2 linked regions of the Macaca mulatta genome follow. The protein of the gene in region 2 purifies or fractionates together with the protein of the main gene of each other region. This does not show direct contact. Links are inferred from orthologs where the notes say so. Each region holds a gene or a part of one and is shown on either strand. Other genes may lie near its edges. The genes, in order: SF3B1 and MFAP1.

Region 1 (3,822 bases), on a different chromosome or scaffold from region 2:
ATTAAAGCATCTTCAAGTAACGGTGTTACAGCATAAATGTAGTCTTTTCCCATTTCACCAATATATTCAAACAAGAAGGAAAGTGACTTTAACACTCCATTTTGAACATTCAGTTCAGGAACTCTGTATTCATTCATTAAGGCAGGGAGTACTGTGAAGGGTGAACATGTTTCCGCAACAATAGCTATTGCTACAGTGGTACAAACTCTGTTCTGCCTTTCTTGAACTTTGAGGTTGTTTAGAAGTGTAGCCAATACATCATGAGGGCTGAAAAAAAAAATGGGTCAACAAGCTGTTACATTATAAGTCAAAAATTTATGGAAGAAAAAATGCATAAAGATGAAAACTTTTAAATATTAATAATTACAGGGAACTCAGTAATTTTATAAAACGCAATACTTCCAAGTCACTGGCATTGTTTCTACATTAAAATTTCATATAAATTAAAAGGTCAGTTTTAAAAAGTTAACTCTGAGAAGATCAGAGGTCACAGCTGTACAAATTTTAAAAATTTTGGCCGGATGCAGTGGCTCACGCTTGCAATCCCAACACTCTGGGAGGCCGAGGCAGGCGGATCACGAGGTCAGGAGTTCGAGACCAACCTGGCCAACATAGTGAAACCCCGTCTCTACTAAAGACACAAAAATTAGCCGAGTGTGGTGGCACACACCTGTAGTCCCAGCTACTTGGGAGGCTGAGGTGGGAGAACCACTTGAACCTGGGAGGCAGAGGTTGCAGTGAGCTGAGACAATGCCATTGCACTCCAGCCTGCGTGACAGAGTGACACTCCTTCTCAAAAAAAAAAAAAAGTAAGTTAACTCAAATTAATTTTCATATGTAATTTTCAGTTTTTAAACTTTCTGAAATATAAAGAAATTTAACTAAATGTTTAAAGTGAGTAATTCTGAGTTGTCAAAATGGGCACTAGAACTAGGTAGGAGTGGTGAGGGGAATATCTGAATTGTGGTCTCCCATTATAAACCATATAAAATCTCTTTTCTTTCTTTTTTTTTTTTTGAGACGGAGTCTCGCTCTGTCGCCCAGGCTGGAGTGCAGTGGCACAATCTCGGCTCACTGCAAGCTCCGCCTCCCGGGTTCACGCCATTCTCCTGCCTCAGCCTCCCGAGTAGCTGGGACTACAGGCGCCCGCCCCTGCGCCCGGCTAATTTTTTCTATTTTTAGTAGAGACGGGGTTTCACCATGGTCTCGATCTCCTGACCTTGTGATCCGCCCACCTCGGCCTCCCAAAGTGCTGGGATTACAGGCGTGAGCCACCACGCCCGGCCATAAAATCTCTTTTCTTTTATCTTCCCTCCCACACAATTTGCTGCATCTATTTGCCTCTTCTTTGACATAAACTTAGAGGGACATTGGGGCTAAAAGCTTGCATGACAGCTATTCACTACAAATTTCTTGACTCCATCACCACTGAAATAAATATTATGCTACCAAAATAGGAGAGAAATTAGTGTGTGTTAGGGGAGGGGGTGTGGTCTGGTTAATTCTACCTAATTAATCAGACGTTCACATGTCATATTCCTTGAACACATTTTCTTAAGCCACATGGACATGTGGTGTCTCGTTTTCTTTTCTTTTTTTTTTTTTGAGACGGAGTCTCGCTCTGTAGCCCAGGCTGGAGTGCAGTGGCCGGATCTCAGCTCACTGCAAGCTCCGCCTCCCGGGTTCACGTCATTCTCCGGCCTCAGCCTCCCGAGTAGCTGGGACTACAGGCGCTGCCACCTTGCCCGGCTATTTTTTGTATTTCTTAGTAGAGACGGGGTTTCACCGTGTTAGCCAGGATGGTCTCGATCTCCTGACCTCGTGATCCGCCCATCTCGGCCTCCCAAAGTGCTGGGATTACAGGCTTGAGCCACCGCGCCCGGCCGTGTCTCGTTTTCTATAATGACTTTTTTCCTACTTTAGTTGTGATGGAATGGAAGCAAACAACCATAGATTATCTCACAAAGCAGCTATAATTCAGTTAAATCCGTGGAGTAATGTTAGAATAGCATTTTTGTTGTTTTTTTTTAGAGACAGGGTCTCGTACACTGGCACAATCACAGCTCACTGTAACCTTAAACTCCTGAGCTCAAACAATCCATAATACAACTTTTAAAACACATAAAGCATTAATATGAGACTTAAATGATGCTGTGAGACTAAAAATTTGCCTTAATAGTTTAAGCAATATCCTAAAAGACCAGTACACATTTTGTATTTTTCTGAAAATGGTACTGTTTCCCTCCCTGAAAACACCTAAAGTATAATTAAAGTAAATCTTAAACCCTTCCATCTATTTTAATTCAATTAAGAATTTAAGACTACAGGCTGGGTGTGGTGGCTCATGCCTGTAATCTCAGCACTTCTGGAGGCCAAGATAGGTGGCTCACTTGAGGTCAGGAGTTCGAGAACAGCCTGGCCCACATGGTGAAACCTCATCTGTACTAAAAAATACAAAAATTACCTGGGCGTGATGGCGCATGCCTATAGTCCCAGCTACTGGGGAGGGTGAGGCAGGAGAATCTCCTGAACCCGGGAGGTGGTGGTGGGTGCAGTGAGCTGAAATCAAATCACTGCATTCCAGCCTGGGTGACAGAGCAAGACTCCGTCTCAAAAAAAAAACAAACACACAAATTGAATTTAAGAATACATTCCAAAAATCAGAAGGTCAATGGTTAAATGAAGAGCTTTCTCAACTGCATTATTCAGACCATGCCTCAAAAGAGATTTCTACATGAAGTATTTTTCAACACCACAACGAATTTATTATAATTTTTTTTTTTAATGGAAGTAAGTGACACTCACCCAATGGCCTTTGCAATATAACCAAATGTGTTGACTGTGGCTCTACGAATAGCCTTTTTGTGGGCTTTTAAGAGCTCTAAAAGCTCAAAGCAAATCCTCATCCACTCTCTTGCAGACACATATTCAGCTCCCCTAATTTAAAAAATACACATATTATTTGTGACATTAGGAAAAGTTTTAAGGATAAATTTGCAAATTCAGTTCTAAAAACATGATTGTTAACTCATTTTAAGCATTAAATAAGAGTTATTCCTCTTCAGAAAGGCTGAAGAGTTAGTCTTACAGGTTTAGTCCTAAAATTACATGGCCACCCCATTACCATCCAAATTGAAATTTGACTGAAAATATTAATACTAGACAGCCTAATCATATACACTTATATTAGTGACATTAAGAAAATTTTGCTAATTGAATACAAAGTGGCCAAATTTGAAAATTGATACTGCTTATAAAAATGTGTGGGTAATCTGCTTACCTGTCAGCAATACGCCCAACAAGATCAATACAATTCTCTTGTACTTTTTCATGTCTGTTCTTTAAGATGGGGGTGAGTCTAGGCAGCAGATCTTTAATTGGTGGAGTCATCTTATGCATACCTATTTAATAGAAGTCAATAAACTATCAACATCTGAATTGCAACTTTTGTTCACTTTCCTTTTACTTAGCAACGTTATATATGACTATGCATAAATATAAACTTACAGCTGCCTATGGAAAGAGAAAGCCGCGGATTCTGACCAGACTCAGAATCGTTTTTAACTTTTATTAACAATTTTTGATTATGTATAGAAATGAAAGAAATCAGTGAAGTGATTTAAAGAATGATGGATACTCAATAACAAAAAAGTTTTGTTTGGTTCTGAAATGTATTTGTGCACTGACATTTAAATATGGGGACAGCTTATGTTCCGGCCGTACACAACAATATAAGCCAGAGGTAAACAAGTAAATAAAGCAAAAATTTCCAGAAAGGGCCCCCTTACCCTTTAACTGCAAAACAAACAGATCTCCAGTCTC
Region 2 (3,822 bases):
GTAGCTGGGACTATAGGCATGCCAGCACACATGACTAATTTTTGTATTTTTTGTAGAGACGGGGTTTTACCATGTTGCCCAGGCTGGTCTTCAACTCCTGGACTTAGGCAATCTGCCCGCCTTAGCCTCTCAAAGTGCTGGGATTACAGATGTGAGCCACCATGTCCATCCAATATTAAAGTATTGAGGTGGGGGAAACTGAGGTGCAGATTAAAGGAACTAGACTAGGATATCAGAGCAAATAGCCAAGTTTGGCCTGAAATACTAAACGTATGTTGAGGCATCCTAAGGCACCACAGCAAGCCAGCAAACTCATAGGGATGCATTGGGATTTTTTTTTGAGACAGAATCTCACTCTGTTACCCAGGCTGGAGAGCAATGGCGTGATCTCGGCTCACCACAACCTCCCCCTCCCAGGTTCAAGCGATTCTCCCTGCCTCAGCCTCTTGAGTAGCTGGGATTACAGGCGTGCACCACCACACCCGGCTAATTTTTGTATTTTTACTAGAGAGGGGGTTTCGTCATGTTGGCCAGGCTAGTCTTGAACTCCTGACCTCAGGTGATCGCCTGCCTTGGCCTCCCAAAGTGCTGGGATTACAGGCGTGAGCCACCGAGCGTGGCCTGCATTGGGATATTTTCAATAGCTCAAGGTAATTCAGTTTCAACATTAAGTCATATTACATTCCTTTTGAGAATATCGTATCTTCGTGAAATTGGGTTTTGGTGGCTGCTGTGGTAAAAAGTACAGTGTGAATATCAATATAAAACAAGACATGAAAAAGTGACAGTGCTGATTCCAAGGTCTGCAAGGCTGTCAGTGTCCAATAGGCACACAAATTCCACTAGTAACTGTGGTTATGTGAGAATGAATAAAAGTGTTTTTTTCCCCATGGGCACTGTAATTTTATTTATTTTTTCTTTTTTCTTTTTTGAGACGGAGTCTCACTCTGTCACTCAGGCTGGAGTGCAGTGGCATGATCTCGGCTCACTGCAACCTCCGCCTGCCAAGTTCAAGCAATTCTCTGCCTCAGTCTCCCAAAGTAGCTGGGATTACAGGTGCCCACTGCCATGCCTGGCTAATTTTTTTGTATTTTTAGTTGAGATGGGGTTTCACCAAGTTGGCCAGGCTGGTCTTGAACTCCTGACCTCGTGATCCACCTGCCTCGGCCTCCCAAAGTGCTACGATTACAGGTGTGAGCCACTGCGCCCGGCCATGGGCACTGTAATTTTCAAGTGGCAAAGTTATTAGGACATAAATACTTATTAAGTTACTTGGCTCTAACTACTTACTAACTAAAATAAACAGAACTGTTTTGGCCCAGGAGCTCTGTGAAAAAACCCCTGGGACAATTATGAACGGTGAAAGTTCAGGACCCCTGGTCTGCTCTATTAAGGTAATGTCTCAATCAGTATATAACATACAAAATCCCTCACTGGGAGACTTTCTACAATGAGACCTTTATGAGGTCTTTTCTCCTGCTTCAGTGTCATTTCCCCTTATTAGCATTTAGAATAAGCAGATGTATAAAATCAATTTACCAAAGTTTATAAAACATCTTTGTGCTAAAAAGACTCCCCTCAACAGCCAACGAATGGTCTGTGTTTTCTATTCCCGTAAGGAGTTGAGTAGGTCCTTTAGGCCAGAAGTAACCTGCTGTTTTCTGAAGCTGCCACTTTGTAACTTTGGTCATGTAACTTTCTTAGCCCCTTTGTGCTCTTAGTTTCCTCTTTTGTGAAATGGGGATAATAGCACCTATTTCATAAAGCTATTGTATGGATTACAACAATTAGCAAATGTCAGCTACTTGGCAGTACTATTCAAGTATTAGCTATTATTATTAAGCTGTAGAGGTTCATGTTCAAGTAAAACACAATCACAGACATTACCTCTCTTCCACATCTTCACTAATACGGTTCTGTAAACGCCGTAGCCGGGGGTCACTAGATGAATCCTCCTCCTGTTCCTCAGGCTCTGCTTCTTGTTCTTTGGCTTTCTTAATGAACTGAAATTCTTCATCTTCCTCATCTGAGGACTCCATAGGGGCATAGTCTGGCCTCTTTCCGGACACATAACGCTTTACCTTCACTTTTTCCATTGAAATCTCACCTGGGTGAGAAAAATAACTATGTTTCAGTAGCCTGTTTCTCAATGTGCTTCATCCCATTATGGCCTTTGCAAATAGAACCCTTTATTCATAGTAGACAAGAGTCTAAGCAGGAGAAGAAAAGAGCCACTACCCAACCATCTATTCATCTAATAGTGTTTTCCTACAAAGGCCAAGTCACGAGACTGCCTCCTTGTGAAAGCCAACACTGATGATAATGAGGCTTACCTTGAGTACAATGAAGTGGAGGAAGGCAGGCAGTGAAACAGTAGAAAAAAGTCCCCCGCAAAAAGGCAGACTGCATCCATCACAAATTCATGGCATCCCACCTCAACTATACCCTTAAACAAATTATTTGTAACAGTGCCCACCACATAGTAAGGATGATTTCTGCAGGAACATAAAACTAAAATGCTGCTCAGGCATTCTTGTAGTTCCCTCTGGGATTTCCACGGCAGCCTTTATAACATATTACCACATGACTCAATATTCTAATCTTACTTATTTCTACCTTCTTTTCCTTTACCTTATGTGTTATCAAACCTGCAAGAGTAGGTAATCTGTTATAAATACAATTCTTTTTTTTTTTTTTTTTTGAGACGGAGTCTCACTCTGTCGCCTAGGCTGGAGTGCAGTGGTATGATCTCGGCTCACTGCAACCTCCGCCTCCTGGGTTCAAGTAATTCTCCTGCCTCAGCCTCCTGAGTAGCTCGGACTAAAGGCATGCGCTACACCATGCCCAGCTAATTATTTGTATTTTTAGTAGAGATGGAGTTTCATCGTGTTAGCCAGGATGGTTTCCATCTCCTGACCTCAAGATCCGCCCACCTCGGCCTCCCAAAGTGCTGGGATTACAGGCGTGAGTCATAGCACCCAGCCTACAAATATAAACAATTCTAGTGAACAAAGAGAGACAGTGAAAACTAACCAACTTATTTTATGAGTATAACCTTGATAACCAAATTGGACAGTTCAAAGGAAAACTTTAGGTGGATTTCACTTACAAACACAAATACAAAAATATTAAATAAGAGCAAATTTATCCCAGCGATATAAAAACTACCAAAAAAAAAAAACCCGAAACAAAAAACCCCTAAGCCAACACAACTTATTAGAATTTAGCTCAAGACTACAAGAATAGTTTAACCTTAGAAAATTAATGAGGGGGCCAGGTGCGGTGGCTCATGCCTGTAATCCCAGCATTTTGGAAGGTTGAGGCAGGAGGACTGCTTAAACCCAGGAGTTCGAGACCAGCCTGGGCAACAAAGTTAGACCTTGTCTTTACTAAAAATAAAAAAATTAGCTGGGCATGGTGGTGTATGCCTGTGGTCCCAAGCTACATGGGAGGCTGAGGTGGGAGAATCACTAGAGTCCAGGAGGTTAAGGCTGTGGCGAGCCGTGACCACAGCAAGGCACTCACTTCAGCCTGAGTGATACAGTGAGAACCTGTGTCAAACACAAAAATATATATAGCTGGGCACAGTGGCTCATGCTTGTAATCCCAGCACTTTGGAAAGCCAAGATGGGCAGATCAGTTGAGGCTACGAGTTCGAGACCAGCCAGGCCAACATGGCGAAACCCCGTCTCTACTAAAAATACAAAAATTAGGCTGGGCGCGGTGGCTCAAGCCTGTAATCCCAGCACTTTGGGAGGCCGAGATGGGCGGATCACGAGGTCAGGAGATTGAGACCATCCTGGCTAACACGGTGAAACTCCG

What was found.
Region 1: the proteins of MFAP1 (region 2) and SF3B1 purify together in Homo sapiens (co-immunoprecipitation; 3 studies listed by BioGRID and IntAct, with this or other methods). This does not show direct contact. The link is inferred for Macaca mulatta from reciprocal best matches to the Homo sapiens genes MFAP1 and SF3B1.

Annotation. Positions count from the first base shown.
Region 1 is NC_133417.1:102,334,067-102,337,888, forward strand, and holds part of SF3B1 (splicing factor 3B subunit 1), read right to left. Parts: exon of another isoform or gene 3,789-3,822; intron 3,402-3,788; coding exon 3,281-3,401; intron 2,938-3,280; coding exon 2,806-2,937; intron 268-2,805; coding exon 1-267. UniProt on the Homo sapiens protein: Component of the 17S U2 SnRNP complex of the spliceosome, a large ribonucleoprotein complex that removes introns from transcribed pre-mRNAs.
Region 2 is NC_133412.1:21,198,334-21,202,155, forward strand, and holds part of MFAP1 (microfibrillar-associated protein 1), read right to left. Parts: intron 2,108-3,822; coding exon 1,888-2,107; intron 1-1,887. UniProt on the Homo sapiens protein: Involved in pre-mRNA splicing as a component of the spliceosome.